Arabidopsis thaliana: one gene and its partner. The protein of the gene in region 1 purifies or fractionates together with the protein of each later gene. This does not show direct contact. Each region holds a gene or a part of one and is shown in the gene's direction. Other genes may lie near its edges.

The links.
Region 2: the proteins of CRN (region 1) and CPI1 purify together in Arabidopsis thaliana (affinity purification with western blotting, with the first as the bait; one study listed by BioGRID). This does not show direct contact.

The regions. Positions count from the first base shown.
Region 1 is NC_003076.8:4,244,609-4,261,408, reverse strand, and holds CRN (Protein kinase superfamily protein), read left to right. Parts: upstream 1-6,168; 5' UTR 6,169-7,087; coding exon of another isoform or gene 7,088-7,157; 5' UTR 7,158-7,172; coding exon of another isoform or gene 7,173-7,193; coding exon 7,194-8,089; intron 8,090-8,144; exon of another isoform or gene 8,145-8,175; coding exon 8,176-8,485; 3' UTR 8,486-8,567; downstream 8,568-16,800. Other genes in the region: SFC (ARF GTPase-activating protein), read left to right, coding at 100-176, 291-391, 674-744, 956-1,018, 1,486-1,530, 1,931-1,996, 2,092-2,139, 2,242-2,337 and 10 more; AT5G13295 (uncharacterized protein), read right to left, coding at 7,088-7,157, 7,173-7,456; AK-LYS1 (aspartate kinase 1), read right to left, coding at 8,755-8,910, 8,985-9,047, 9,145-9,261, 9,357-9,473, 9,589-9,681, 9,770-9,889, 10,007-10,123, 10,213-10,308 and 5 more; RARE1 (Pentatricopeptide repeat (PPR) superfamily protein), read left to right, coding at 12,197-14,455; AT5G13260 (myosin), read right to left, coding at 14,732-14,808, 14,889-15,015, 15,204-15,244, 15,462-15,503, 15,699-15,768, 15,847-15,968, 16,084-16,200, 16,297-16,357 and 2 more. UniProt on the Arabidopsis thaliana protein: Involved in the perception of CLV3 and CLV3-like (CLE) peptides, that act as extracellular signals regulating meristem maintenance.
Region 2 is NC_003076.8:20,504,515-20,521,285, forward strand, and holds CPI1 (cyclopropyl isomerase), read left to right. Parts: upstream 1-7,152; 5' UTR 7,153-7,341; coding exon 7,342-7,348; intron 7,349-7,433; coding exon 7,434-7,564; exon of another isoform or gene 7,565-7,814; coding exon 7,815-7,898; intron 7,899-8,049; coding exon 8,050-8,091; intron 8,092-8,241; coding exon 8,242-8,352; intron 8,353-8,440; coding exon 8,441-8,632; intron 8,633-8,835; coding exon 8,836-8,933; intron 8,934-9,239; coding exon 9,240-9,312; coding exon of another isoform or gene 9,313-9,417; exon of another isoform or gene 9,418-9,450; coding exon 9,451-9,567; 3' UTR 9,568-9,735; downstream 9,736-16,771. Other genes in the region: AT5G50360 (von willebrand factor A domain protein), read right to left, coding at 919-1,794; AT5G50361 (uncharacterized protein), read right to left, coding at 1,867-2,064; AT5G50365 (uncharacterized protein), read left to right, coding at 3,647-4,048, 4,257-4,262; AT5G50370 (Adenylate kinase family protein), read right to left, coding at 4,868-4,969, 5,045-5,134, 5,232-5,399, 5,487-5,752, 5,997-6,117; EXO70F1 (exocyst subunit exo70 family protein F1), read right to left, coding at 11,868-13,919; EMB3141 (Pentatricopeptide repeat (PPR-like) superfamily protein), read right to left, coding at 16,275-16,605, 16,692-16,771. UniProt on the Arabidopsis thaliana protein: Converts pentacyclic cyclopropyl sterols to tetracyclic sterols.

The DNA.
Region 1 (16,800 bases):
TTCTTCCATAATTGGATTGTGTCTTTACTGTTTTCTTTGCGTTTATGTATTTTTCCTTCCGCAGCTGCGTTCTTACATTGATATCTTTTTCTTAAATAGTTACAAAGCATGGAGGAGAGCGCAGAAATATTGCGGGAAAGAAGTCTCAAGTTTTACAAAGGATGCCGGAAATACACGTATGCTAGTTCAAATTTTCACAGCTAATTAGGATTGTAGCTCTACATTTAGAGTTTTCTTCTGGCTGAAACATGTATCTTTTAACAGCGATAGATTATTCTTTCTTTTTACAGTGAAGGACTAGGCGAGGCATACGATGGGGACATTGCTTTCGCAAGTGCACTTGAAACATTTGGTGGAGGCCATAATGATCCAATAAGTGTGGCTTTTGGAGGTATGACCGATTATATGGAAACTCGCAGTAGCATATTGTCTGTTTATTCCCATAATCTTTGCAGTTTTCATCTGAGATTCTTTGGCACTTTCCATTTTAGAATTCATAATTTCGTTTTTAAGCACTAAATACTGATAGTGGCCTTAAATTATGAGGGAAGTTGTTGTTCCCGCTCTTTCTCTTCGCTTTCTCTTTGCTAGGGTTGTTAGATTCACTGGTTTTGGTGGAAATGTTAACAATTTGCTGTTAAAAGTGCTGACAAACTCTAACTTGCTGTGCCAGGACCGGTAATGACGAAATTTACAATTGCGTTGAGGGAAATTGGGACTTATAAGGAAGTTCTTCGGTCACAGGTATGCTAGTTTGCTATTTTGACACTCTCTGTTTCTCCCTATTCCCAGCCTTCTCTCTGATAACTCCTGTGGTATCAACGTAGGATAGCTTTGTTTTCCTTCAGCAAAAATGGCCTCTTTATAGTTTGCTTTACCTTAAGACATCATATAGATTTAGAGCAGATCAAGTCATTTCAATCCAGGTTTTGATTTTGATGAGTTCCATTGTCAGGTGGAACATATACTGAATGACAGATTACTTCAGTTTGCCAATATGGACTTGCATGAAGTTAAGGTACAAGCTGCTTCCTTTATTATTGGCTTGATATACATGTTTTGAGTTAACTTTGCATCATTGAGGTATTAGTATTGACTAGAATATCTATTAAACAATGGAGGACAAATATTCTGCATGTGTGAATAGAGAAAATATGAAGACCTGCCAAGAGGCATTTAATTTAATATGGACATTAGGTCTTGTTCTTCTGGTTTGACTTGCAGCACTAGAAATCTAAAAAAAAGAACTAATTATCACTCATGTGGTCAACCTTCCCCAAACAAAATATAATTGTGAATATTTTCTGAGGTCATTAATGTAGATAAGGTCTGATGATTGCGGAAAATATGGTTAAGTTTCTTGAGCCTGCCTTTACATTGTGGCTAGTCAGCTTGTCCAGATATATCTTTTTCCATTTTTATAGTAGGCTAGCATGACATGGTTATATTTGGATATGGAACCCTGAGAGATCATTTTTGCCACAGGAAGCTCGGAAGCGCTTTGACAAGGCTAGCCTTACCTACGATCAGGTATCCCTTTTGTCAAGGATTTTTGTTTTCCCCACTCCGCTGACTTGGTTTGCACTACAAAAGATATTTTGGAAAGATTAAAAGTTCTCATCCTGACTCTTTTCTTTACTAGATGTAAATCTGTATGAAAAGTTTCAACCAGACAAAATGGGTCGAGCTCAAATATTTTAGAATCATTCCTCGTTAATGGAGGAACGCTAGGGTTCCTCTTTTTCAAAGTTATGATATGTGTTGCAGTTTCCGTGCAGGCAGTGTATAAATTTGCAGAAACCTAGCTAGTTTTTTTGTTCATGCTACATTTGTAGCTTGGAAAATAACTGATAGAAATAGAGAGGCATATTGGGTCCACGGCTCCCACTTATCTGGACGATTAACTAATTAACTTCTTATTGTGCTTTAGGCCCGTGAGAAGTTTTTATCTTTGAGGAAAGGTACAAAAAGTGACGTTGCTGCTGCTTTAGAACAGGTATGGTGCATGATTTTAGTAAAGCTCGTTTCTGATTTTTGATAACCATGTATTTTTATTTCTATGTTGTAACTAACATATTTTGACACTGACAGGAACTTCATACTTCGAGGTCTATGTTTGAGCAAGCTCGGTTCAACCTTGTAATTTTCTATCGTTTGATCTTGAGTGTTCAAATCTACATACTTGCTGTCCATACGTAGTATTGTTGAAGTAATCATTTGGTTTCCCTAATTTATGCTCAGGTGACTGCTCTATCAAATGTTGAAGCTAAGAAAAGGTTTGAATTTTTGGAAGCAGTCAGTGGAACAATGGATGCACATCTTCGGTACTTCAAACAGGTAAGTTTGTTATGCTGCTTAGAATTATAAAATAGTCTGGAAAGGTTTGTGTCAAATCTAAACGTGGTTGCTTTCAGGGTTACGAATTACTGCATCAGATGGAACCATATATCAATCAGGTCGGTTTAATGTTATTTTCCTTTTCTTCAAGTGATAGATCCCTAAATATTTGGGGTTTATGTATAATTCTCTTCTACGACTATGTATGAATCTTCACATGTGTTGAAAACGCGGAGATAGTAGCATTTAGAAAACTACTTATACATCAACTCTTTTTTTGTAGGTCTTGACATATGCGCAACAATCCAGAGAAAGATCAAATTATGAACAAGCAGCACTTAATGAAAAGATGCAGGAGTACAAAAGACAGGTTGATCGAGAGAGCAGGTGGGGTTCAAATGGTTCTAATGGATCACCAAATGGAGATGGCATACAAGCAATCGGTAGAAGCTCTCACAAAATGATAGACGCCGTAATGCAATCTGCTGCAAGAGGAAAGGTTGATCAACGTCTTTAACATATGATTGATACATCTTCCAGAGAGTACTATTAACATTTCTTGGTGCTTTCAGGTGCAAACAATAAGGCAAGGTTATCTCTCTAAACGATCTTCAAACCTGAGAGGAGACTGGAAAAGAAGGTTTTTTGTTCTTGACAGCCGGGGAATGCTCTATTATTACCGAAAACAGTGTAGCAAACCATCTGTGAGTTTTGGTTTTATATTTATCTTTTATTTGAAAACAGCAGAATTATGCAAACGGTATGGTGTTCATAAAGTAAAAATCTATTTGACCCATTCTTTTCACACTCTGACTTAGATTATTTGATGTTTAGGGGTCTGGAAGCCAGCTTTCTGGACAGAGAAATAGCTCCGAGCTTGGGTCTGGACTGCTTAGTAGGTGGCTTTCTTCGAATAATCATGGACATGGTGGTGTCCATGATGAGAAGTCTGTAGCTCGTCATACAGTGAACTTACTCACCTCAACAATTAAAGTCGACGCTGATCAATCAGATCTGAGGTTTTGCTTTAGGATCATATCACCTACAAAAAACTACACGTTGCAGGTTTGATTCAGAGTGTTTGTTACTGCCTTAAAACTTTATTGTATACATGTTTGCCCAAGTTTAATAGTTTTCACTCAGTGTTTACTTATGTTTGTCAGTGCAGGCTGAGAGTGCACTCGATCAAATGGATTGGATAGAAAAGATCACTGGGGTTATTGCATCACTACTTAGTTCTCAGGTCCCTGAACAGGTAAGTATTATCATTATTCCTTTACCTGACCAGGCTCATATTAAATACCAATGCAACTTTGGTGATTGTCCATCGGCTACATTTCAGCGTCTTCCTGGTAGTCCCATGGGAAGTGGCCACCATCGATCTGCTAGTGAAAGTAGCTCATATGAAAGTTCTGAATATGATCATCCTACTACTGAAGAATTTGTATGTGAGAGGAGCTTTTTGGGGTACAATGAAAGGCCATCAAGAAGTTTTCAGCCGCAACGGTCCATTAGAAAGGGTGAGAAGCCCATTGATGCTCTTCGAAAGGTCTGTGGGAATGACAAATGTGCGGATTGTGGAGCTCCAGAACCAGACTGGGCTTCTTTAAATCTGGGGGTTCTTGTCTGTATCGAATGTTCTGGTGTTCACCGTAATCTTGGTGTGCATATATCTAAGGTAAAAAATCTCCAGAACTCTTAATTGCTTAGAAAATATATGTAGGCTCTATAACAACCAACTTATGGAAGGACGTAAAGAAGTCCATGAGAATTTTGAAGTGACACTAGGCTTATATTCAATAGCAATTCAGATTATAGAGCATGTGATAGAATTTGAACTTTGGATGGCTCGGCCTTCAATTTGACATAAGTTATACAGCAATCTGAAGTTGGCTGTTGCTACAGGTTAGGTCACTCACTCTCGACGTGAAAGTATGGGAGCCATCTGTTATAAGTTTGTTCCAAGCTCTTGGAAATACTTTCGCAAACACAGTTTGGGAGGAATTGCTTCATTCAAGGAGCGCCATCCATTTTGACCCCGGCTTAACAGTGTAAAACTCCATTTATGTTTGAAAGTGATGATAACTTTGATCACCTAGAAATCATAATGTTAAAATTACTCTGCCAAATATGTGCAGGTCTGATAAATCCAGGGTGATGGTCACTGGAAAACCCAGCTATGCTGATATGATATCTATCAAGGAGAAGTATATACAAGCTAAGGTTTTTAAGCTTCTACCCTTTATTTGATTCCTTATGTTGGAGATAAATGAAGCTATTTTTCTTCTCGAGGGCGTGCTTATTTCTTCCCAGTATGTTGTTCCTTCAAATATTCATTGAGCATGTAGAAAATATTTACTTTCGAGGCATTCTCTCGTTGCTCGGTCATAGGCAATGTTCAGGAAAGCTCATTCAAACTTTTTTTTTTTTTGTCATTCCACAGTATGCGGAGAAGTTATTTGTTCGGAGATCAAGAGACAGCGATTTCCCACAATCAGCTGCACAACAAATGTGGGACGCAGTGAGTGGCAATGATAAAAAAGCTGTTTACCGGCTCATTGTCAATGGTGATGCGGATGTGAATTATGTGTATGACCAAACTTCCAGTTCTTCGTTAACACTTTCCAGAGTAATATTAGTACCAGAAAGGCCAAAGCGTGAGGATGTTCTACTCAGATTAAGAAATGAGTTACTTGATAGAACAGGTAGTTCTTCAAATATATCTCCTGAGGGAAGCGGAGGTTCCTCTCTGCTTCACTGTGCTTGTGAGAAGGCAGACCTTGGGATGGTAGAGCTTTTGCTGCAGTATGGTGCAAATGTAAACGCCTCAGATTCAAGTGGTCAAACGCCGCTGCACTGTTGTCTTCTCAGAGGAAAAGTGACAATAGCAAGATTGCTTCTCACTAGGTGAGTTGGTCTTCTTAGATCCGCTTATCCAAAATGTCCCTAACATTTTCTCTGGCTAAATCCTTTGGAAATGTTAAAAGTTTTCACACAAGTTGTGTGTATGTTGCAGGGGAGCAGACCCGGAAGCTATGAACAGAGAAGGCAAAACCGCTCTTGATATTGCTGCAGAGTCAAATTTTACTGATCCAGAAGTTCTTGCTCTCCTTTCAGACACAAATGGATACAATCACAGACAGTGCTGATAAAGATGCATAGGCTTGCGGACATAAAAATTCCGGAGCTATGTTTCATCGTTGCTTTCACGGTCTGAAGAGCCAATCAACACTAAAGAAGGACCTCTAATGGTCTCTAGCAAGTTTAGCCCCCAATTAAGTATTGTATTGATGTTTTTGTGATGGATGGATATAGGCTGCATATTGGGAAATTATAGTGTATTGTATTGTGTCGTGTTGTGTGTATGTGGGACTATAGCATCCTGAGTTTGTCATGTCCAGACGTTGTAACTTGTAAGCAATTACTTATGGTTTTGTTCACTTCGTATTAACGTATTTAATTTGTGGCTCGATTTTGGTTTTGAATCTGTGTCAAAACTAAGATAATTTACGTGTTAAACCAGGCCCAAGTTTGAAAGTTAATTGTCAATTTTCAGACCAGAGTACATATTGGTCCACTTATTCCCATTACATTCATAGTTTTGAGTCTTTTGATAATAGTGTTACCATTTCAATTAGGCTAATCTTTTTTCAACCCAAGATATTTTTATAAAAAGGAATGTGGTTCAAATCGGAAAACAAGACCTAACTTTGAATAAAAGCACTACAGCATAAAGCTTTTACCTTTAACAAAAAAAATATAATAATTTTTTACAAGGAAAAAGAAGAGAAAGCAATTATTCTCAGACAAACAAAGGAACCACTTTTGTAGGTGTAGTAGTAATCTCACACGCTAAGACAAAAGTGCACAAATTCTCGAGACTCTCTTCTATCCAACGGTCCATATCTCACTAACCGCATCTAAATAACGGACAAGATCTTCTTTTGGCTTCAGCTCTCTTTAGTCTTTACCTTCCCTCAAGCTCGGTACTCGATGTCTTGCTTTCGGCCACTCATGAAAGCAACGAGAGCTTCCCCTTTCATCCGCCTACGTGGCTATGGGACCCAGTCTAACCACGACCACCTGACATCGTGGGCCCCACTGTAAGGCGGGAACCCCATTTTTTTTTGGCTGTAAGTAACGGATTCTCGGTCATGCTTTTTTGTGAGGATAGAGAGAGAGACTGAGAGAGAGAGAGAGTGTGTCACGGTCTCGCAGATACTGTGTATTGAAAAGAGAGTTCTAGAGAGAGAGTGTGTTATGTGTGTGTGTGTGTGTGTGTGTGTGTGTGTGTGTGTTTGGTTACTGGGATTAATTGAGCTGAAACAGTTTGGATAGTTTTGTTTGTTCTGTTTCATCTTTCAACCACAGATATAGTAATATTGTGAAAACCCCTCATTGAAGTTTGTTCTCTGCTCTCTCTTTTTGGGTTTAGCACTGAGTTTTGGGGTTTATTTCGAGACATACCCATACAAAGTTTGATACTTTTGTGTCCCCCCTTATCAAGAAAATTGTGGGGTTTTTTTTTTTTTTTAATAAGCTTCCTTTAAATTTTCAATTTTTATTTTGGAGGAAAAGAGTGAGAATTTCAGATAAGAATCTATGAGCCAATGATATTCTAATTCATCTTCTTCGTGAAGATTTTGAGTTGAATTCCATTTTCCTTTTTGTCTTGGTGGTTTCTCATTGGTTTTCTCGAGAATATTTGTGGTTTTGGGAGAAGAGGCTTCACTGTAGCATTGAAAAAGTCTTAAACTTTTCTGTGTCTTTTTATGTAAGCTTTGAACAGCTTCACCTTTCTGGGTTTTCTCAGATTGTGTCTAATCTTGAAAAACCTTTTATTCGTAGAAGCAGCAATGAAGCAAAGAAGAAGAAGAAATGGATGTAGTAGTAGCAACACTATCTCTCTACTCTTATTATTCTTCTTAGTCTTCTTTTCAAGAACAAGCACAAGTACAAGTTGTCGTAGAAGAACTGTTAAACACTTATCCACAACTTCAACATCATCTACACCACTTGAATCAAGAATCACTTCCAAGGTTATTGTGATTAGTATCGTCTCAGGGATTTTAACAGGGTTGGTTTCAGCTTTGGTGTTAGCTTTCTTGGTTCGTAGCATTGTCAAATTCATGAAACAGACGCCAATTCTCAAAGGTCCAGTGGTGTTTTCTCCTAAGATTACTCCTAAATCTCTCCACGCAGCTCTCAGTAATGGTATTCAGTTGCTTGGCTCTGACCTTAATGGTAAATACTATAAGATGGTTCTTGATAATGGTCTAGTGGTTGCAGTCAAGAGACTAGGCTCACTTGAAGGAGTTGGTTCACCAGAAAGTAGTAGTAGCAAGTCGGTTAAGAGAAGGTTGCAGAAGGAACTTGAGCTTCTTGCTGGGTTAAGGCATAGGAACCTTATGAGTTTACGAGCTTATGTTCGCGAATCTGATGAGTTCTCTCTGGTCTATGATTACATGCCTAATGGTAGCCTTGAGGATGTGATGAATAAAGTTAGAACGAAAGAGGTAGAGCTTGGATGGGAGATTAGGCTTAGAGTTGCAGTTGGAATTGTGAAAGGGCTTCAGTATCTTCATTTCAGTTGTGAGACCCAGATTCTTCATTATAACCTGAAACCTACAAATGTGATGTTGGATTCTGAGTTTGAGCCTCGGCTTGCTGATTGTGGATTGGCCAAGATCATGCCTAGTTCACACACAGCGGTATCTTGCTACTCTGCCCCTGAGTCCTCTCAAAGTAACAGGTGCTTCAAATATCAACACCATAGCCTTTGAGTTAACTCCTTTTTCATCTCTTTTACTAACACGGTAATGCAAATCCTTGTGACAGATACACAGACAAAAGCGACATATTCAGCTTTGGGATGATATTGGGTGTTCTTTTAACCGGAAGAGACCCGACCCACCCGTTCTGCGAAGAGTCTGCAAGCGGAGGTAGCTTAGGACAGTGGCTGAAACATTTACAACAGTCTGGGGAAGCACGAGAAGCATTAGATAAGACTATTCTTGGAGAGGAAGTGGAGGAAGACGAAATGTTAATGGCTTTAAGAATCACCATCATCTGCCTTTCTGACTTTCCGGCAGACCGGCCTTCAAGTGATGAGCTTGTCCACATGCTTACACAACTGCACAGCTTTTAGCCCAACGTACTTACATGTATCAAAACCTCTGTAAAACCAATCCAGACATCTGCAGTTGCATCAATATATTCTTTTTTCTTTATTCTTGCTAGTAACTGGTTTAACTTTGATCACGCAAATGGTACAAAAAATTGGTCTTACAACAGTCGAAAGGTAGCCAGCAGTTCCCGTTCCTAAACGTAGGACAACAAGCAGTGCTTGATGAACGTACATACTACACTCAGAAGGAATACAAAGAAAAACACAGATCAAGCAATAAGCTTGTCGAGTCAATTTTCTACTTGCAGTGTCCTGACAGGTGACCCGTTGCCAAGTCTGGGTTGTATCAATAACTCTGAGAGGTCACCGCTCTCGAAGAAGGATTTGTGAAGAGCCTGAACACAACCTTCAGCTTCAGCTTCGTTTACTATAAAGGAAATGTTTACCTGCGAGATATTGAAACAAGAAAGGAATATGTTAGGTGAGAACGGAAAGAGAGTTTTGTGATAAGCAATGTTACCTTGGATGCTCCTTGTGATATCATCTGGACATTGACACCTTTGGTATAAAGAACATGAAACGCCTGCCCAAAGTTAAAACAATTAAGTAAGAAGCGCACAAGAAATATATCTTTCTTTGTTAGAATCTTGAAGTAATCTTATTAGGAGACCAGATCTAACCCTCTCTAAAATCAGGGAGGAATGTTGAACATTCCCAATTAGAGAGATGATTGCTCTTCCTTTTAGAAGATTCACAACTGCAATTTTCTCCAGTTCTTCAACTACATGATCAAGCTCCTGTAACAAGAAAAAAAAAAAAAAAAAAAAAGGACTTTGAAAAGCACGCATAAATGAATTGGGAATCACGTATTGGGGATTCTACAAGAACTTACCTGTTGAATCAGTTCTCTGCTCCAAAGTTTTGAAGGATCCAGTGTCAGAGATATACTGACTTCACTAGTGGCAACAACATCTACGGAAATGCCAAGCTCCTCAAATATCGAGAATACCTAGTAAAAAGAGTGAGGCAAGCAGGCAGTGTTGATTATTAACAACACCAAAACGACCACAGGGTGGAGCAGCCCACAGTTCAGACCATGCCAATGAAAAAGTGTACATCCTTACCTTTGCAAGAAAGCCAACTTGACCAAGCATTCGGGTGCTTGCTATATCCAGCATGGTCACATTACGTTTCAGAACAATGCTCGTTAGAATACTCTGTCATGAAAAAGCAAAAAACAAAATTGTTTGCTATGAAGGTTCTCACATGAGATTCATAAAAGAACACAATTAGGAGACAATATACCTTGGTCATGTCTCTTGTTTTAGTGATGATAGTTCCAGGAGCCTTAGGGTTATAAGAATTTTTAACCCTAACAGGAATCTCACCCTCTCTTGCTGGTCTCATTGACTGTGGGTGCAAGACCTGCAGCAACAAGTGAATTTCCTTACTTAACCACTCGAGCATTTACAACATACAAATTTTCATGTAACAATACTAATAACTACACTTGAGTATTATTGCATACAAGTAGAGTGGGACCTGTGCACCAAAATAAGCTAGCTCGGCTGCTTCGTCAAATGTCAGATATGGTACTGGTGTAGCTCGCTTATATATAGTAGGGTCACATGTTAGAACACCATCGACATCTTTCCACACCTACTCAATGGAAAAACAAACATCCAAACTGAACAGAAGGTATGCAACGTTTGAAGAGAAAACATTACACTTTGAGATTGTAGAAGAACCTGAATCTCTTTCAAACCCAACGCTTTACCAATTGTGGTTGCCGTCAAATCACTGCCACCCCTACCCAAGGTAGTAACCGCACCAGTTTTCCAACCCTATTAGTGAATGAAATAATTAGGCAAGCCACAGAAACATGAATGAAAATCTTAATTATCTGTAGATTGTAAACTGTTTGAAATACCTTCCCAAGGAAACCTGTTACAATAGGAACAGCAGGATCATGCATCCAATCATCATATAATCTCTTGGCAACAGCTGGATAAGTTGCCTCCAGGATATCCCCATTTGTGAAATCATCCGTTGTAATGAAACCAATTTCAAATGCATCATACTGCAAAGTAATGGTCGATAAATCTACTTAGCTATGTTTGCGAGCCGGATCATTGTGCAATAAAGCTCACACCAAGGCCAGTTTAGCATGTAACAGAGAAAGTACACCAATATGTGTTCCTTGATAACCGAAACCAAACTAATAAAAAAGTTAAATGACCAATTCAGAGTATATAGAATTTGTTTATCATATTTTCTAAATCTAGATTGAACTTTTCTACCCTAATCTACCAAGATATCAATTTGACTAAATAAGCAACCAAATGTGATATATAATATAATTAAGAAAATTACAGTAGAACTAAAAATATGATGATGGACATACTTGGCGTGCCTTGACACCGATTGTATTAAGATAAGCAGCAAAAATCCTTGTAGACAAACACTCTCCAAAAGAGACTAAGTAATCTCTGGTTCGAAGTGTCAATTCCTTCATCATGGCAATGCCTTTCAGGAGTTGCTCCAGTTCCTCCAAATAGGCTGCAAAATGTATCCAAGATATAAATAGGCAATGCATGTACACTCTTGAATTATTACCAAACTCATCACAAATCAAAAATTTATGAGCCTTATCAGAATTAGAAAGAAATGAAGCTCCAAATGTTGGAAAGTCTACAAGTTAAAATATGCTCACTCAAAATAACAGAGGGATCAATGTTGAGCTCTTTCACCGTCCTGAAACAACAAAAAAACACATTCTTGATCAAAACCAACAGCAACAAAGGAAAAGATACTCAAAGGTACCAAATTAATCATAGTTACAAGAAACCAAAACCTGATATGCAATTCCTTTATAATGCTCAACTCCTCAATCTCAGATGCATTAGAAACACCACAACTAACCGCCTTCTCTCCCGCCTTCACTAGCAACAAAACCAATAATTCCAATCAAAAAAATTCAAAACTTTGAATAGAAAACAGAGAAAAGGGAGAGAATCTCAGCATTACAAGCAAGAGATTGTTGGTAGTTTTCCCCATAGCAGAGAGAACAATGACGGGACTTTCTTCCGGAAAAGTCAAAATCAAATCAGCAACTTCCTTCATTCTCTCAGCTGACGCCACCGAAGATCCACCAAACTTCATCACGCACGTGATACCCTTCTCATCTACCTCCGTTATCGCCTCTGTCTTCTTCTCTTCCAACACAGCTCGCACAATGTTTCTGCTGCCTGAACCTGAAACCTTTCTAATGGAGGAGCCATCTCCAATGGGTAATGATAATTTCTTCAGCGTAGGGAAATCGACACGATTTAGAGAAATCGGTAGCGTCGGCGAGTTTCGGTGGCGGGTAAGTGGCAATCTGGTGAAAGCTGCATTGCTATGACAACAACGAACCCTAGTAGCCGCCATTTGAGAGGAGGAAGAAGAAGAATATTATTGATAGGTTTTTAAAACAAGAAGAGGAGAGAAATCGTACGGCTCACTCTCATTTGATGAGAGACACCAAAGAAGGAAACTTTGAACCTTCCACTCTTCGGGTCTCTGTACTAAAACGCTGTCGTTTATTACCAACCATTGATTTTGATTTTGACCCGTTTTGGTTGTTGGCTTGTTGCAATAACTGAAGCCAGTAAAGTCTGAGTTTTTTGCTTCTCTGTCGTTTGTTCTCGAAAGGGAAAAGCTCTAAACTTTTGTAGAATTTCTCCATCAACTATGACGATTCTCACTGTACAGTCTTCGTTTAGCTCTTCTCGAGTTCCGGTTATAAAGAACGCGAATTTCGATCAAATTCCGTCGTGGGTTTCTCTGAAGTCGAGCACTTCTTCTCCGTCTGTTAAAATCTCGCATAAGCAAGGACAAGTAGAGAATCTTCATTTGGTTTCGTTGTCGAAGCATAGGAAGCTCAACGAAGCATTTGAGTTTTTGCAAGAAATGGATAAGGCTGGTGTCTCCGTTAGCTCGTATTCTTACCAATGTCTCTTTGAGGCTTGCAGAGAATTGAGGTCTTTATCTCATGGGAGACTCTTGCACGATCGCATGCGGATGGGTATCGAGAATCCTTCTGTGCTTCTTCAGAACTGTGTGCTTCAAATGTACTGTGAGTGTCGGAGCTTGGAAGATGCAGATAAGCTGTTCGATGAAATGTCTGAGTTAAATGCAGTTTCTCGTACAACGATGATATCTGCTTACGCCGAACAAGGAATTTTGGATAAAGCTGTTGGTTTGTTCTCGGGAATGCTAGCGTCAGGCGACAAGCCTCCTTCTTCCATGTATACGACACTCTTGAAATCTTTGGTAAACCCCAGGGCTTTAGACTTTGGTAGACAGATTCATGCTCATGTTATACGTGCTGGGTTATGTAGCAACACATCTATAGAGACCGGGATCGTGAACATGTACGTGAAATGTGGTTGGTTAGTGGGTGCTAAGCGAGTGTTCGATCAGATGGCAGTGAAGAAACCAGTGGCTTGTACGGGATTGATGGTAGGTTATACTCAAGCTGGAAGAGCAAGAGATGCTTTGAAACTATTTGTGGATTTGGTAACGGAAGGTGTTGAATGGGACAGTTTTGTGTTTTCAGTTGTTCTTAAAGCGTGTGCTTCTCTTGAAGAGCTTAATCTTGGCAAGCAAATTCATGCCTGTGTCGCTAAGCTTGGATTGGAATCTGAAGTCTCGGTTGGAACTCCACTTGTTGATTTTTACATCAAATGTTCCAGCTTCGAGTCTGCTTGTCGTGCATTTCAAGAAATCCGTGAGCCAAACGATGTTTCCTGGAGCGCAATCATCTCCGGATACTGTCAAATGAGTCAATTTGAGGAGGCTGTTAAAACCTTCAAGTCTTTGAGAAGCAAAAACGCATCGATTCTAAATTCATTCACATATACTAGCATATTCCAAGCATGCTCGGTACTTGCAGATTGCAACATTGGTGGCCAAGTCCATGCAGATGCTATAAAAAGAAGTCTGATTGGATCTCAGTATGGAGAAAGCGCTCTTATTACGATGTATTCAAAATGTGGATGCTTAGATGATGCAAATGAAGTCTTTGAGTCCATGGACAACCCCGATATTGTTGCATGGACTGCTTTTATATCAGGTCATGCTTACTATGGAAATGCCTCTGAAGCTTTGAGATTGTTTGAGAAAATGGTGAGTTGTGGTATGAAGCCAAACTCAGTTACATTTATTGCGGTTTTAACCGCGTGCAGCCATGCAGGCCTAGTTGAACAGGGAAAGCATTGCTTGGACACGATGCTTCGAAAATATAATGTGGCTCCGACTATTGATCATTATGATTGTATGATCGACATTTATGCCCGTTCGGGACTATTAGACGAAGCTCTCAAATTTATGAAGAATATGCCTTTTGAACCTGATGCAATGAGCTGGAAATGCTTTCTAAGTGGATGTTGGACTCATAAGAATCTTGAACTGGGCGAAATTGCTGGTGAGGAACTTCGCCAACTCGATCCAGAAGATACAGCTGGATATGTGCTACCGTTTAATCTGTACACCTGGGCTGGAAAATGGGAAGAAGCTGCTGAAATGATGAAACTAATGAATGAGAGGATGTTAAAGAAGGAACTGAGCTGCAGCTGGATCCAAGAAAAGGGTAAGATTCATCGGTTTATAGTGGGTGATAAACACCATCCACAAACTCAGGAGATCTATGAGAAGCTTAAGGAGTTTGATGGTTTCATGGAAGGTGATATGTTTCAGTGTAATATGACAGAGAGAAGAGAACAGCTTCTTGATCATAGTGAGAGACTTGCCATTGCATTTGGGCTGATATCGGTGCATGGCAATGCCCCTGCACCTATTAAGGTGTTCAAGAATCTTCGGGCATGCCCAGATTGTCATGAGTTTGCAAAGCATGTATCTTTGGTTACAGGACATGAAATCGTCATCCGAGATTCCAGGAGGTTTCACCATTTCAAGGAGGGAAAGTGTTCTTGCAACGATTACTGGTGACTGATGATCTTTAGTCTGTATCAGTAGATATTTTACATTAAATACTTATCCAACAAGAATGAGTCTGCAAATTGATGGTTAGGACGTGAAAACGTGGATATATTATATGTCAAAAGTAGTGCGTGTAATACAATTCTTCGGTTTACAAAACTGGAAACATTTTTCTGACTGCAAAGTACCCCAACCACACGAGAAGAAAGCATGTACGATATACAGTACTGTTAAAGCTGTGGTAGCAAGACTGTTCTGGGATCCCGAGGTCCCCAAGGTCACTACTTACTGGCTGGACCTGGAGGCTTCCCACAATCTACGTTCTATCCGCAGCTTTCTTAGCTCTGTTAGTCCTTGCTCAACTGAAAATAAGAACCAATTGTAAGAGTTGTCTTATGGATAATCCTCTTGGCTAAAAGGAATTTGGTAAGGTAAATTGTACCTTCCATGGCGTCATGTGAAGATGGAGAATGTGCGCTCCTGCTGATCCAAAATCTAAGACGTTCTCTCGCAGTGTCCACTTCTATGCCAAGGGATTGTGCTCTTCTCCAGAAGTACGTGAGCCAAGCCTGCCAAATGTTCCAAATTTCATAGCTTTGAGAATGGAGAAAGGCCAAGATGAGCTGACAAAATTATCTCTAATAGATCCAAAAGATACATAGAAGAACAAAAGTCGATACAAAAGGGAACATGAAGGAGGGATCAGATGAAGGAAAAGCCCATGAGAGAAAGCGAGAACGGGCTTGTAATTCTGTACCTCCTTGAAGAGAACATCCTCAGACTCTTCTTGACTCAATTCTGCAAAGGACCACAGGCCAAGGTCAGAATTATCCTTAAGAATAACAAGAACTGTTGGAACATAGGATACTGGCGTTCAAGTTAAGTTTTTCATGGTCATAATAGTATCAAGAGTTTGTCATTGTAACTCTGTGGATTATGCTTTACTCCATATCTTATATTTCATAACACCAAGATGTTGACATAAATATTCAGTAAGATAAGCTAATAAACTTACCAAGTGTCTCCGTAATCTTAGGACCACCTGGTGATTTTAACTCTGATATAAAACAACCAGAAAAAAACATCAATTGCAAAGTAGAATAGCCATTTAAGATGCGACACAAAATAAAATAAAACATGTACACTATTATCTCAATGGTGAAATTAGAAGCCTGGCTAAAGTCACTTATAATTTATTTTCTCTTTTTATCAACAAAAAACATAAAATTATTGGCGTCCAGAAGAAGCTCACCGATATCAGACAGTCGAGTAGTATTGGCCAACCTTAGCTGGGCTAATGTAATAGTAATGGCAACTTCAACCTTCAAAAGAACAAGTATAGTCCATGAGAAAATGAAAGAGGGACGCATGAACCAGAACCAGAGAGGATGAGAATAAACCTTTAAAGAAGTTAGCTCCTTTAGACCCATTTCCACAGAGAGCATACTTTCAATATTTCCTTCTCCTGTTAGATCATTTATATCTTGAACGAGCTGGCTCCTCTTCTCGTTCTCCTCAGATTCTGGTCAGATGTTTTCATAGCCAACAGATAAATATACAGTAACGAGAAGTGATACTCGGAGTTATAGAATGTTATCACAACAGAATCTTAGAAATATGATTGAGTGATTGCTTGCCTTTTTCCCAACTTTCTTCTTTAGCCTTCTGTCCAGCTGACAGCACAATTTCAAAAGGAAGAGGAGCCAGAGATGACCAGTATTCGTACTTGGACGTAGCTATATCCGAACATATTCCTGAAATGCAAATATGCACATATGTCAAGAAGCAAAGATACACGATGGCATGAAAGTTCTAGTTATGTCGTTAAGCAGATGTTTGTTACTCCTTACCATATCTGGAAGCTAGACCCCAATACCGAGCTAGCCAGCACCGCTTAAGAACAACTTCCTCCTGAAAATTTTGCAAGGCTGTGTTACTTAATCCCTACCATAAGCTTATGTGTGGATTGCGCAAAAACATGAACACAAACCATCTCCTTTTGGGTCAATATCATTCTATGCGTCATTGTCCGTAGACCATTGACTTCAGATTCTGCTCCTTGAAGTTGTGCTACTATAGCAGCGGTCTCCAGTTTTGCAGTCTGATTAAGAGTGAATTATAGAAAATATAAGCTTTCTCCATTTCCATTAATTATCACCTCATTATAGATGTGACACATGGACAGAAAAAAAGGGCCTACCTCTACTTGAGACCGAAGAGCAGTAGTCTCTCTATTAGTCCCATCTCTATTCTGCCTTGCATCTTTGAGGGCCGCCTGTCATAGAGTGAGTGTAGGTGAATCTAAAAGCCAGAACAAAAGTTCCATCTTTGGAAACAAAACCACCACATAAAAG
Region 2 (16,771 bases), about 16 Mb from region 1:
ATAATCTTTTCAACATTTAATAAACTTATTCCTAACTAAAAATATAATAGGAAAGTGGTTGGAAACGAAGAAATATAAATGGTTTTCTGTATCTATCATTGACGGCTCTAACGTCAAAACTATAATATGTGAAAATATAAGATGATATATATGATATATCAAACGCTCAACTTACTTAATTAGAAATTAGTCAAATTCCTTACGTAAGAGCTTTGGTGAAAATGTATCCAATTGGCCATGTGTAGAGAGACATGAAGTATTTTACCTACGGCCTACGGCTACGAGAATCTCATAACGATGGAAATAACAGTTGATTTAGTCTAGTGCAGTTTTAAACGTAGTCTCTTTTATGTCATCAAGTGTTTCCAAATGTAAAGTGCATATCGATTTTCCTAGGAGAATAGGAGTGGAATTTCAACGTATGATGTTGAAAATATTATCCGATCTTAGTTTCAAGACTTTTAATGAAACTTTACGTTATTATACATGTACTAAGTACTAAGGAGTCTACTTCACCTCATGTGTTTTAACAAATATCTCCAAATTAATTTGAAGGTTAAGCTTTTTCTAAGAGTAAGCAAAAAATTTAATGCATTCCATTGTGTGATTAAACATAAGATCCTCACCTAAGTACTAATTCCATAATCCTACAAAGCACAATACTAGAAAAAAGAAAGATACCGACTAACCAAGAGTTTTTATACAAACCCCAAAAAAGAAGAAGAATAAAACACCAAACACTACAAATTAAAACAGAACATTGAAATCAAAATGTTAAAACTTAAAAGCTACAAAATTGCGAAATATGTATGTACACTCATAAAGTTGGAAGTCCAAATATCTATCTAACTTGCATGTCGTTATTAAATATCCTCATCTCATCAATCTAACATCATCTCTAATCCAACGGCCCAATCCTCACCGTCCAAGGCAAAGTGCAGCATCAACATCAAGCCGCCACGCAAAGCCACCGTCACTCATCCTCCAAACATCACAGAACGAAGTAATCGAACTCACCTCCTTATCACGACACGTGTACTGCAATCTCATTCTACACGTAAAAGTCCGGTACGTTACCAAAGGCTTCTCCTTCATCACAAGCCACACACTCATCTTACTACACTGCTCATGATCTTTCCCAACCACCAACTCTCTGTAAGAACCGTTCGTCCAAATGACTCTCCCTAAACCGTCCGATATAAAACCAGGACACGTGTCTCTCTCAAGATTCATCTTCCTCTCCTCGTCCGTACACCCTAACTCATACTCTCCCTCCATCAATCTCTCCGTTACACACTCCACCGTCAACAACGACGACACAACCGTTTCCGTCATTAACTCTGTCTGATAACGTCTGTTATAACTAGCTCCGTCATTAAAACTCAGCCACAACGCCGCCGCACCTAACTCCGGCGCCGCCTTAGCCTTCAACGGCGAGTCTTTCTTCTCAGGAGTCTCTGGAAGAAGAGGCAACGTCACGATCTCTCTACCACCACCAGATCCGTTCTTCGTCTCATCGTTTCTCTGTCGTTTGCTGTTACCGTTACTATTAACGGATCCGGTACTGCTACTATTATTCTCCTTTGAATATTTTCTCTTACCTCTCCGTGATCTCGACGAAACGTTAGTTATCACCGATCCATTCTTCTCCGTCGGTGAAGCAGGAGATCCACCAGAATCAGGTCTCGGTGCAATCGGACGGTACCGGAGCATAATCCGATCAACCTTCGACATATCATTTCCACCACCACTACCACCGTACCTCGCAATACAACAACCTCCCCGGAAATTCATGTTTTGTCTAACAAACAAGTTTGTTTTGTTGGAGAAGAAGTGTTTGGTGTGTATATAAAGAAAAGAAAACTCTTACGTCGACACGTTTGGAGAAAACCTTGCCACGTGCGAGACCAAACGATGAACAGCGCAACGACGTGATTGGACGAAGGTTAGAGACGTGGCGTTTTGTTTGAATCCGACATTGAGACTCGAAGTACGAGGGAAGTGGTGACCAATAGGAGAGCGAGGAGTGGCTATTAGGTGCGGTGCGATTAAAGGTAGACACATAAGGCTGCGACTTTGGAGTTACGTGTAACAGAACGCGAGGGTTTTGGTTTTGAGATGAGAGGACACATGCCGTGATCTTGTTTGCTGTTTTCTACGTTCAAAAGTTTTGAGATTCTTTTTTTTAAGTTTGGTTTCTATTATTAGCATGTAGGATGGGGAGATTGTGACACGTGGGGAGTAACGCTGTGACACGAATCTCCTTTGGATGTGGGGTTGCATTTATTTCCAGAAGAAGATACTTTTTGCATGCATATAATTGGTGGAAAGTATAATATTAATAGTATAATACACACTTTATAAATATCTACTACGACTACGAAATCTTCCGGATTTCACTAAATTACAAAACAATAAACCGCATGAAATTTAGTATTAGTATCTAACTATTCGTTTGACAAAAAAAAGTACAGATATGATCAATTAAGTAGATATTAGTTGAAGATAAGAAAAAAATATAATCATGTAAAATGTCATGTGTCGTTTAATAGACATGTTATCTAATTAATTTTCAATCACTATTATTTCAGTACGATTCAATAGTTGTCCACATAACCTATTTATAATCCAACTCAATGTAATTCTAGAAGAAGATACTTTTAGCATGTATATAATTGGTGGAAAATATAAGTAGTATAAAATATGCATATCTACTATTTTTTCAATGTTCCGGATTTCGGTGAGTTATAACAAGACTGTAACCTCATAAAAGTTTATAGACCATGAATATAGAACACAGTGCAGAATGGAAATGTTATAACCGGCCGAAGTTAAATTTTCCATTATAATTATTTATTTTGTGTAATTATTGATTAAAATAAGAAAATGAGTAACTACTATTATGACGGTCCAAATTCTAACAGAGAAATTATGAATGCCATGTCAGATAAATGCACAAAATATGTTGTGGTTAAACAATTGCAATGTGGTCATAATTTTTATTTTTTATTCAATTTTTTTACAAAAAATTTGTTAAAAAATAAGAACATTTTACTGCTTATAAGAATGTTTTGATAATTATTTAACCAACCATTTTTCTTGTAAATACTTTATATTTTATTAAGATTCACTTTTATGGTTTGTAAAATATTTTTATAGTTTTGAAATAATAAACTTGTAAATTCATAAAATTATAGTTTAACTTTAGTTTTCTGATTCTTAAATATTGAACAATAACTAATAATATTACCAATTCATAGTTCCAGTGCCAACTCTTTAAGATAAATTAAATTGCATATATATATTGCATTATGGACTGAATGTGTGTATATGTAACTATGAAGTATATGAACATGACGATGCCAACTCTTTAAGATAATTTAAATTTGATTGTTCATTGGAATCCAAATTCTTGAAATTTGACAACTTTAATCTTAAATTCATCAAAATAAGATAATTAAACCCGTATTTTTTAAAACTACAAGAAATAATTAAAAAAGAAAGAAAGAAATGTTGATGCATATTTTATTGAACACTAGCACACTAATAAAACGCTCCTGTTTTTATTGTAGCTAGAACTTTGGTTGGATTATGATTTACACTAGATTTGCTTTAAAAAAAAAAGAAATTCAAGACATATTTTTTTATGGATTTAAAGTTTTTTTTTTTGCTAGTTCTCATTGGAGGAATTGGAACATTCTTAGGTAACATTCCTAAAACCAGACGTTGTGATGGTCACCATAAATTCATATTTGCGTTGTGTGCAACCGGTGGTTCTTTGGTACTAGGTCCTGAGGGTGGAACAAACCATCTCCTAACTAGTGGTTCTTTGGTACTAGGACCTGAAGGTGGAACGAACCATCTTGTACCCGGTGATTCTTTGGTACTAGGTCCTGAAGGGGGAACGAGCCATCTTGTGACGCGTATTGGATCAACTGATTTTTTAAGCAAACTTTCGGACTGTCGAAAATCTTCAGATTCATGTAAGAGGCTCTTCTTGTTGGCTTCAAGAACACCAACAAAGAGGAGAACAAACAATGCTATCACAGTAAAAAAATTTGATTTCGTCATTACAAGATACTTTTACAAATTGTTAGAACTATTGACTATGTTTAAGTTTTATAACATTGTCATAAATCTTATCTTATCATCTTAGAACTAAAGAATAAGATTTAATATTTTCTAATATGGAATGTGTTCTAAGTATGGTACACTGAAGATATTTTCCCGAAAATATTCTTTTTAATATATAGTAGATTTGACTGAAAAAATATAGGCAAAAACTATTATTTAAATAAATAATAAGAATACAATTCAACATTTTATACCCCAAACATTTTCAAAATTTATCTTACCATCCAAGTTCATTGAAGCTCAAATTGTAATGATGATATCTTTATTCAAATATATGAATTACTTGTATTTTATTCCTTTTTTTGTTATCCAAAATAAATCTATAAATCTGAAAAACTTGAATTTCACTAACTATGGTTTCATATCGCTTATCTCATTGTGATGATGAGATGATCTATATACAATTCCGTTGGAATCTGTTGGATTCCTGCTCTACCAATTCTTACAGTTGATCACCAATTCTTTATAAGCTACCATTTTGTTTTCAATGTTATGCGATTCTAATGTTTTCAATCTTCCACTATTTTACTACGATTTTGTTTTTCCTTTATTCACCTGACATTTCCAGTCGCAAACAATAAGCCTTAGTGAAACACACTGCACAAAACTGCAGCAAATGTTGCTCTCAAGACAAAAGACATTCCGGGGGAAACAAATAAAAAAACTCAGGAGAGTTATTTAAGATAAGCAAAAAAAGATACATCTTAAACTGATGCCATTTCGTTTTTCAGTTTCATGTAGACACAACCTTCTTCACCACTTTTGTAACCTCTTCCGGGGCCTTCTCTGCCGGTATGTTCACCAGATTCTCCTTCTTCGCATAATAGTCAATTACCTGCAACAACAACAACAAGAACAAATGTCAAATTCTCTGATAGTCCTCAAGTTCATGTACTATAAGGAAACATACCGGTTGCGTCTGCTTGTGGAATGCATCTAGCCTTGATCTAAGAACATCCGCATTGTCATCTTTACGTTGAATCAATGGCTCTCCAGTCAGCTAACAAACAACGAAGTTGATACAGAGATCAAATCACAAGAGAGAACTCGATTTACTAAGTCAAAATGATGAATCAGAATTTGATGGTTTTTCTTACATCATCGACTCCTGGAACTTTAGGAGGTGCGAATTTAGTATGATAGCTTCTTCCACTTGAAGGGTGAATCCACCTTCCAGTAATTCTTTCTTCGAGAACCGAATCATCGATCGCAAAATTAAGCACCTTATCTATCTGAGCTCCCCTTCTATTAAGCATCTCATCAAGCTACAAGATTTATAAACAAAAAAAGTCAGAACATTTACAAGAGCGAGCAGATACACAAACAACTAACCACAGAAAAGAACCAGAAACCTTCTCTGCTTGAGTCACAGTCCGCGGGAACCCATCAAGAATGAAACCTTTCTGACATTTGGGTCTGTTCATTGCTTCATCCATGATACCAACAACCAAGTCATCAGAAACAAGCTCTCCCTTATCCATTGCTTCCTTTGCCTTCACACCAAGAGGAGTCTTAGCAGCAACAGCAGCTCTAAGCATGTCACCAGTAGACAAATGACACAAACAAAACTCATCCTTTATGACCGGAGACTGTGTACCTTTCCCTGAACCAGGTGGACCTGCAAATTCCAAATCATACATGAACCAAAACTCAATTCTTCCTTTCTATTGAACCAAAAAACACAAATTCACAATCCCTTCGCTATGATCATCAGATAAAGCATTAACGATAACAGCAAAATGCAATTTTTACACACTAAAACAGATAAAAATCGGAACTTTCGCTACACAATTTTCACAGAGATCAAACCTAAAGTACCGATTGAGTGAAAGATTCAGAGGTAACGAAAGAGATGATTGTACCGATGAAAACGAGACGTTTGTCAGGTTTAGAGGCACATTTCATACGGCGAAGAAGCTCAGACATGAGATCAACAGTCTGAATATCTTCCATATCAACAGAAGCCGCACTGCTCGTTGCCATGTTCGTCGTCGTCGTCTCTTACAAGAGAATTAGATTTGGTCCGGTGGAGTTGTGTTCTCTTTTTGAAGTGCGTGTATTGGATTCGATGCTTCCAATGTTTTCTTTCACCGTTTTACGATTTTACCCTTAACTGTGCCAACAACTACAAAGGCCTGCCCTTCGAACAACAACAACCTGCCTGGGGTTGGTGACACACCCAACTCTGAAAACGAGTCTTTCTTCTTACACATCTAATATCGCACATTTTTCATAATTACATAAAATCAAATATCATATAATACTTCCAACAAACCATTATGTTTTAGGTCAAGTGAACCAAAAAAAGCGGACTAGAAAACATAGAATAAGTAGAGTCTAACACATTTTTTCGGTTTTAAGGCACGATGGACCGGTCATTTGTCCAATTAACACTAGTGTTAAGAAACTTAATTTGATATTAAGTACTGAGGTTGAAGATTTTGCTAGTTTATGGTAGACTTATGAATATCAGTATACCACTAGACCACATTCACTTTTCGTCAATAAGACAATTAAACTCTTGAAAACCCACATTTTTCTTTTTTTTTTTTGAAAGCCAAACTCCATCAATGTTTGGTTATTAAAGATATGAATGAATACTACATCATTAGTTTCTTTCTTGATAATTTTTGTATATTTATTTATTAATAAGTTTTTGTATTTTTCTAAATTCTTAACATTAATAAAAGAGTTTTCCAAAAAATGCAAAATAATACTATAAAATTCAAAATAGTACATAATATAAGCTTTTTTTTTTCCAACTTTACATATATTGTAAACGTTTTTACGATCACATACATCTGCTTTTTGAAAATTCTAAAAATATAAATAAACTCTTTACCTCAAAAGTTTCAATTTGCTATATACATTTTTTTAAAATCAAATTTAACAATAAAAAATAAAATTAGATTACATATTATTTTAGAATTAAATTAACATAGGCCCACTTCTTATGTTGGGAAAAGGGAACAACAAATATAACAATTTAGCAACAAAGAAGTAGAAAAAAGAGGTGATGTCATAATAAACGGTAAAATAATAGGAACGATGAGCGAGCGGATCTAGCTTTCGTCAAAATCATCATCACTGAGTACATCTGCCACGTCAGCTTGATTGGGATCTATTTGGTCGCCCGTACACAAAATCTCGGCTCACTCACTCACACTACTCAAGTCAACGTTTCTAAGATTCTCCGGCGGAGCGATTATGTCAGGTAAAACTATCGCCGATCTCTTCTTCTTCTTCTGATTCGAATCTCTCGTCCCCATTCCCTGATTTTTTTGATTTACATTTGATAGGATCTTCTTCACCGAGCTTGTGGCTGGCACCGAATCCGAGCAAGAGATGGGGAGAGCTCTTCTTCCTCTTCTACACTCCTTTTTGGCTCACTCTCTGTTTAGGCATCGTTGTTCCTTACAAGCTTTACGAGGTCTATGCGATCATCAAATGAGCATTGTTTTTAAGTGTCTGATGTATTTAGGAGACGATGAGACAGAGTTGAAGTAGCTATTCACTTTTTTTTATCTGCTAAATTAGATCAACAAAGTTTATGAAATGATGTCTCATTGTTTACCATGTCAGTGTTTTAGAGATCTGAAAATTTTACTGTTGTATGAAGTTGTCTTTTAAGTGGTATTGAAGAAGTACTAATAAGTGTTAGTTACTTTGCAAACTAGCAGACATTCACGGAGTTGGAGTATCTGCTTCTAGCTTTGGTTTCAGCTGTTCCTGCTTTCGTTATACCCATGTTACTCGTTGGAAAGGTTACTTTTTGACAACTTTTGCTTTCACTGTGAGCTAACGTGTTCGTGGTGCTATACTTGTTTGTCTACTAGCTACTTGCTTCCAATTGAATGCAAATCTCTATTGTTTTCCTTACCATATGGACTCAGAATATATGCATTATTCTTTCAGGCCGACAGAAGTTTATGTTGGAAGGACCGCTATTGGGTTAAGGCAAGCTTTTTTTCTATGTGCATGACATTTTGGCTTGCCAGTTCTAGTTTCAAACTATTTTTAGAACTTGTTTTAACTTCCTTGAGTACTGGTGAGAGTTCTCAAGATCTCATCCATAGTTGTACTGATTGGAACATGTTTTTACCACAGGCAAATCTCTGGATAATTGTTTTCAGCTATGTCGGAAACTACTTTTGGACTCACTATTTCTTTAAAGTTCTTGGAGCGTCCTATACTTTTCCATCATGGAAAATGAATAATGTAAGCACAGCATTATCTCGGCAGATTTGTTCTATTGAGTAGTTTTCTTGTTTCCATGAGCTTATGGCAGGGGTTTTGTGTTGAACAGGTGCCTCACACAACATTCTTCCTAACACATGTTTGCTTCCTCTTTTACCACGTTGCATCGAACATTACTCTTCGGAGGCTACGCCATTCCACTGCTGATTTACCAGATTCTCTGAAATGGTGTTTTGAGGCTGCATGGATACTTGCGCTTTCTTATTTCATTGCATACTTGGAGACTATTGCTATCGCAAATGTACGTTGTGATGTCTACATTTCTTTGATAATTTCCTATAAAAAGAGCTCTCTACTTGGTGTTTTATCATATATCACAAATTCCTCTTATAGTCTGCTTAAAGACTACGTTTATCTACTTAATCATTCTAGAATCTTGTTTAGAAACTAGTCACTTGACAATAACCGCTCATATGTTCTGTTTTTGTTTTCAAACTTGTGCAGTTTCCTTACTATGAGTTTGTGGACCGAAGTGCCATGTACAGAGTTGGATGTCTTTTCTATGCCATTTACTTCATTGTGAGCTTCCCAATGTTCTTCAGGTAAAGAAAGCATAGTTTTCTATCATCTCATAGAAGCAGTGAATCTTTTCACCTTCATGACTGTTGCATATCAAAACTGAGACAAGTGATAGTTGTTAGATACACCGGATTAATTGATTGAATTTTCTTGAGAGTCTTAAAATATAGGAATTAAAGACTTAAATGGAGAACCAGGTCTTTCTCAAGTGTCTTGAGGAGTTCTTTGAACAGTCTCTGTGATATGCTTCCGTCTCACCTTCTTATTGCTATTTGATTACCTCGAGTTGTTGTCTATCTGTTTTCATATGTTTTATTCATTGTTTGCAGGATGGATGAGAAATCAACTGATGAATGGGATTTATCTCGAGTGGCTGTTGATGCTTTGGGTGCTGCTATGTTGGTAACAATCATTCTTGATCTATGGCGTCTCTTCTTGGGACCTATAGTTCCCTTACCGGAGGGACAAAACTGCCTTCAGTCTGGATTACCATGGTTCTCCAATTGAAGATTGAAAGATCGGTTACTTCCACCAATTCAGGGAATTGACATGGGACTGAGAGAGAAACCTGCAAAGGAATTTCCATTAACACTTTACGGAATTGGGAAGCAGTTAATGCAGGGCATGTTTCTAAGGCTTTTCTTCTCCAACTGCTGATTTGTTTGTTAGTTGTTTTTGGTTTTCAGTTTCTCTTGATGAACTTTCCCAATGTAACCTTTCAAGTTATCCTTTATAGAACAGAATGGAACTTCGTTTTTTGTTGTGGACTCGATATATTGGTTCGTCCTCTTAAGTTCATTAAAACAAGAAAGACCATAACACCATTGAAAGAACCAAAACTTGATATTAAATGGTAAAGTCTCATCACATGAAGTAGCTAAGGGCTTACTTTACTTCTGCAACCTCCCCCGTAGCATTTGTTCCATTGTTGTAGTCACTAACTTATATGGGACGACTGTTGCAGTGCATAACTGCAACCACAATCAGAACACTAATCTCTGGTCCAAGATCAACATTACCTGGTCCTGTGACCATCCATGATTCCTTGAACAAGTACACGTTCTCAGTTCTTTGTCCGTAGACCGGTTAGTAGTGGGAGATAGAACAAGACTGCTCTCCGTTTTTGTAATCTTTGCATCTGAGAATATTAAGGAGATACGACTACTAACCGTAAGAGTTTACTTGTTCATATATGTCATAGTTTTAATGTGGTTTGTAATGAGTCTTTGGAGTGTAAGAGTTTAAAAATGATTTAATATAAGATCTAAGTCTCATTCACATAAGATAACCCTGTTTCAAGATACAACAACAATTCTATTATAGGAGCATCCTTCAACTTTTAAATATAAAAAACATAAAACACTGAATCAGAATCATACTGATACTAACTCAGGTTTATTGTAGTTTCTTGAATAAAATCTGGAAAGAATAACAAAACATTACTGCCACAAGATCAGAAAATGAAACAACCCAAAAATATTTCAAGAGTGTTAAGTTGCCATTATTGTATCATCAAAATAGTACTGCCACTAATGCTTTATACCATCAATTAATGCATGACTGACCTCGTTTCTTCTAACCCAAGTATATGCTATTCACAGAACAAGAAAAATACTTCCCTGAATCCAGACTAAATCACACTAACTCATATATCAACACGAAGGAGAAGAGTATGGACCAAGAAAATTGAGAAATCCAAACTCCGATTAAGCCATTAAGGCAAAAAACCATCCATGCAAAGAGACATATAAATTCATAGGGAGAGAGACAAAAACACGTAGCAATAAAAAAGCAAATGAGTACAAAACAAAACAAAACAAAATAGAAGATTGTGCAATGTAACGCAAGGACTCATGAAGATCATCATACCTTTGCTTTGAGAATCAGGATGGACAACTTCAGACTTGTGTAACCCCTTCTTTTTCGTCAAGATTAATTACTTCTTTTCGAATTCAACGTGAATGTAAAAATCTCTAGAGATCAAATTTTAAAACATCAAGCAGTCTAAACATTAAACAACATCAGCTTAACACAGTTTAAACGCATTAACCACTTTATAAAATGTTGAAACTATTTTTGTAACCCACAATATTATAAAACGCATGTTTCTTGTTTTCTAAAGAAAATCTAAATTTTGAATTGATCAATTTTTTGTCCAAATCTTCTATGATTTCCTTAGGGAGAGCCACAACCTGATTCCAAGCCCAAGAAGAAGGATGCTCCACGTTTTAAAGTTAATCTTGGAAGCGAGCGACAATGCTTGGGATGGAATGTTAAAGGTAGCAGATGCATACTCTGTTATCATAGTCTATGTCAAAGTATGTGGATATGAATAGTTTCCATGGTCGTACTTGTCCAAGAAACTTGGATTTGTATTTTGTAGCTACTCGAACACAAAACTTGAAACCAAGAACATTTTTTTTGGTGCCAATAAAATAACACACTGGTCTAAGTGACATGTATGTTTTTATGAGATTTGCTCTCCAATGTGGCTCAACCTGTGTTTTCTTTGGGTATATACATACTGGATTTTTGGCCGAAGTCTTGGAAACAGATTATATCTGTGATTTGGAAAATGCGGAATCACCCACTATTATAAACTGAAATTTTCTTAACTTATCATTTCTATGCAACAAACACACTTTTACTATCAAATCTAAGTACAGAGATACGTTACAACAAGAAAGTAATATCATCCAGCTCCATATATATAGCAAAGACCATTTGATTCAAGAGCATAATCATTATATAAAACCCATGGTCATAACATGATAAGTATTAAGACATGTACATAAGAATTTTGACAGTGTATAAAAAGGGTGTAAGCCCGACTTTCACATATATAACTTAAACCCCTGACTTATATGTTACCTGGCCACTATCATCTTTCAAACAGACAAGATTGTCCTTCAAGCAAGAGAGTCCTCGTCAATCGTCATCATCTTCTAGCAAGAGCCTTAACTTTTCCTTCTCGGGTGGTGAATAACCAATTGATTTCCTTCAAATAGGTCTGGTAAGTAACTCTCCAGGTCATCTGGTGTGTACTTTATGTACTTTCCAGCATGCCTACCACCTTCTAGTTGACTCCTATTCCTTCCGAAGAAAGCCCGGTAAGCCGGGATTACTTTCTCTGATATAGATATTCTCAGTTCTTCACGAAGTTGAGGATCCGGGACCTTCCAAGCCGTTTGCAGCCTGTATAACTCTTCAAAGCTGGCATTAAAACCTCTGAATCTCTCTTTTAACGCCATCTTGGAAGAATTGTTGCTTCTTTGTCCATAACTCGGACTACCACTTGAACTTCCACCCATACTTTCGTCCCTCAAAGCAGATAGCACCCTGCTCCAGGAAGCCCTGAGGTAACCGGTAGCATATTGACGTATCTGCCCTCTTCGTTTTCTAACCCAATCATCACCCAAGAGTTTACCAAGCTCAGAATCCTTCACCTTCTGAACTATGTAGTAAATGTTGTTCATCATGAACACATGTTGCAGCCCACCATCTTCATACAACTTTGATTTATCTTCAAGATTTGATTCCAACGACGTAATCAACCCCAATATTCTTTTCGCAAGAGGAGACATCTCTTCTGTACTATCATCACCAGATACGCCACTTGACTCATTACTCTCCAGAAGCGAATTTAAGGTCACCGCATAATCCACAATCAATTTCATGTAATTCATCACATAACGTATCATTGGATGAACCTCACCATTTGTCGTCGGTCTCTTTGATGTCTCATTCCGAACATTATTCTCAAACTCAACAAAAGTCCCCCTCGCAGCATCACCCAGTGCTTCCAACACCCCCTTGGTCTCATTACACACAAAACAGTCAGTGACCATCACCTCTAAAGTCTGCAACACATTAGCCAACGCATCATACATGTCCAGAATCCTAAACAACTTCTCTGATGATCTTCTACCAATCGCCACAGCCTCTCCGAAATTCAACAACTGCATCACACAGCTTTTAGTTGTCTCGTTAAAGCAAACCTCTTTACTCGACTCCGAACTGCTAAAGATCTCATCACATATCTTTTTCTCACCAACAAGAAGAACCCTAACAGTAATCTTCACAGCTTGAATCCACTTCTTCATCTTCTCATCCATAGACTTCCAATCAATCTTCTGAACTTCTTCTATACTCAGCTTCTCAACACCAAGAATCATCAAACAATCATCCAAAGCATCACGCCTAACCGAACTATAAACCTGAACACACTCCTTCTCATAACCAGCGCGAATCATCCGCTCTGCAATCTCCTTCAAATCTTCAACAGCAGTTGGATTAATCAAATCAACCCAAAGATCACACCCTATACTCCCTCCTCTCTCATGAAACAACCTCCTCCTACTCCCACTACCATCTCCATCAGCAACCAAACCAAAATTCTCAAAATCCTCAACAACATCACCATCAGCAAAGGACAACGAAACACGCCGCATCGAGCCATAGAGTCGCTCAGCGTCTAAAGGAACAGTGTTACGAATCAAAATCCGTCTAAATTCATCTTCAAGCTGAGACATAGCCATCTGCAAAGCACTATCAGCTCTATCCACCATATCAGGCTTATTCTCAGACGAAAGATCCTCAAGCAAAGAGATAATCTCATCAACAGCTGAAAGAAACTCGGTAGCTTCCTCCGGAGATTCATCAAACGAAAGAGAAAACGAAGAGGAACGATAGTTACCAGAAGACGAAGACGAGTGACGAGAAGAATCATTACCACCATCCCACCGATGAATAACCGATTCTGCAGCCTCTAAACGCGCCACAAGAGCGTCGTTTTGATTCTCTTCCTGGTTCGTCATCGCGGTTTTGATATTTGATAAACGGTTATCGAAGCTTGAGAAGATAAGTAACATATCTTCACGAACCTCTTTTGGTGTGTTGAGGCTTTTCATGATCTGTTGCGCCGTAGCGAGAACACGGTCTTCAGCTCCCCCACCACCACCTCCGGCTTCGGCGTTGATACTCGCCGCCGTGGTTGTTGTTGCGGCCATCTATGGAGAAATTCGAAAAGGGAAAAATCAAAATAGAGAGGTAGGTGAATCAGAAAGATGAAGACATGGATCGTGTTGTGAGATTTAGAGATCAAAACTTGAGAGAGATTGAATTGAAGAAGAAGAGTATAATTTTTTTCTAGGGTTTGAGTGGAACAAAGACAGCGAAATGGATTGTTTTTGGTCTTTCCGAAAAAAAGAAACAAAGTCAATACGTTTTCGTTGACCTAAATGTTTTGGTACCGGTTATTTTCCGGTTTAATTCTCTTCTACGAATCACAGATAGACAGAAAAGTACGGTAATGTTTTTGGTTACTTTCGGTTTAGTCTTTTTTTTTTCAATTGCTGCAAGTTTTGGATAGAGTTTTTAGACTGTTTCAAATTTAGTTCAAGGAGTTTTATTTAGACTGTTTCAAAATGGTTAGATTTTGTGATTTTTTAATTGTTCATTCAGTATGGGTTTAGCTTTAGAATGTTTCAAATTGTATTCCGATCCTAATATAGATTCAGAAAAACGGACCGGACCAATGTGATTGATTTGATAGCAGCATTATTGCGGTGGAGTACTCTTCCGGCGTATTGACGCTGTCGTCCGCCTACCGTATCCAACGGTTGATAATTATAGTTGACAATAACAGATTTTCTAATCTCTCAAATCAATTTTTTTCTGCTAAACGACAGATATCTGTGTTCACACTTCACACCATCAACATTCATCTACCTGTTGTTTATTCAATATAGCCAACACAATTGATTTTTTTTTATAATGGATATGTTATTATTTGTAAATTTAACATGATGATTGTACATAAAAAGGTTAGTGTTACCAAACTCTAACTCTATTATAGTAAAGGGAAATTTGACTCTATAACCAACAAAAAAACTATAATTAAGAAACTAGCACCTCACAAAAAAAACCTTGATATTCTTTATATTTTATGTATTAATTCCAATGTTGTCCTTTTTTTTTAAAGATATTATTGAATAAAGGTTTTTAATAGATTTATGAAATTAAGTGTTATTCAATTATGTCTTTATAAAACTACTTTAAAAAATCTGCTTTTATTGGATTAATGTTTATTTGATATATTCTAAAATAAATTAAAAATAAGTGTTATTCAATATTTATTTGATTTGTTTCATTTAGGATTTGAATGTACTTTTATTCATAAAACATGAAAAAAATAATCCAAACATTTTATCAAGTATTTCAAAATCCACGTAAAACATTAAACATTAAAATCAAAACCCACATATTATCAAGCCAATTCAAGTCTATTAAAAACCTCAATCTAATAACAACCTCTTAATCTCATTTTCCCCATCAACTTAATCTTCACTTTCATATTATCACTTTGCCTCCTTTTTTTTTTGCCAAGTTGTCATAAAAAAATGGGTGCAAAATTCCCTTTCTATACCGTCATTATCACCGTTAGTGCTACCATTACAATCGATGTCATCGTTATCGTCACCACTACTACCATCGCTATTGTCAACATCACCGCTACGTTTTATCTCGGTTGCTTGAGTTGCCAATGTTGTATCTTAGAGTATAGTTTTTTTTGGAATCAGATCAGTTTAACTCCATCATTTGGATCACTTAGAATATAACGTTCTTTATTCGTCGTATGTTTAGTTTAGTATTATGTGTTCTCTATTACTGCTACTATAGTATATAGTAAGACACTACAATGTTCTATACTATTTTAAAAGACATGCTTTGGGTTTGAATTTACAGTACTGATTTTAAATATAATTTATAAAAAATAATATATTACAATATTTATTCTTATGTGATCCTATATAGTATAAGATCATATAGTATAACATATATATTTTTTTGTTACAAACACTTAACCACGTAAATGTTTATATCCATTTGAAAAATTCAATCACTACATCAATTCACGTTTCTCACTCATTTACGCGTACGTCCACAATTCCAAGTGCAGCTACGAGTGTGTCATTCTCCTTTCACACGTGCGTTTGCATCCTTTACAAGTTGGAAAAGAGTTTTTCGTCTTTCTATCATCTATATGTGTTACTTTCTTCATTTACCTTATTATGATGCTATATATTTAATAACTTTAGCTAGAATGGTTATTCACCTAATTCACCCTATATCAAATTTACACCGTAATACACAACACAATTCTGCACTTTTTTTTTGGTGTTAAAAGCAGTGAATGATAAAAAAACTTTTACCTTTATTGATAGCAATGCTAAAAGAATCATACAAACCCGTTACATGATCACACTATTTTCCGTGTGTTATACATATATATAACTTTAGCATAAAGAAACAAGAACCCATAACAATAAAAGAACATGGAATCTACTTCTACTTGTGATGATTCACCAATAACCTCCACAAGAACACTTCCCTTCTTTAAAATGATGGAACCGGCTCGCGTCTCTCACTACCATCTCTCGTCCTGTAACCAAAGATATGAACTCAACCACCTTGTGGCAATTTTTGCATATCCTATGGTTCTGAGTAATCTGCAATGGATTCCATTCCGGCGTATTCACCAATCCGTAAGCTATGGCTAGTTTCTCGCTGTGATATCGCCCTACTCGCTCTTCTTCCTTTTCATCTACGTCTGGAAGAAGGTGTTGCTCCTCCTCTGAGTACCCATACTCGGAAATCTCTTCCATTAGTTCATCCACTTTTTGGTATATCTGCCTGTTTCATTTAGATTCACACATCGTAAGGTTATGAGATTATGAAATGAAGACAGAGAAAGATTTTAGTATTGTCAGATAATTTACCTTTTCACCGTCTCATTGTAAGAATCAAACCTATCTCCTGAAAGAAAGCTGTGAGTCTGATCTCCAACCTCAACCCAAGT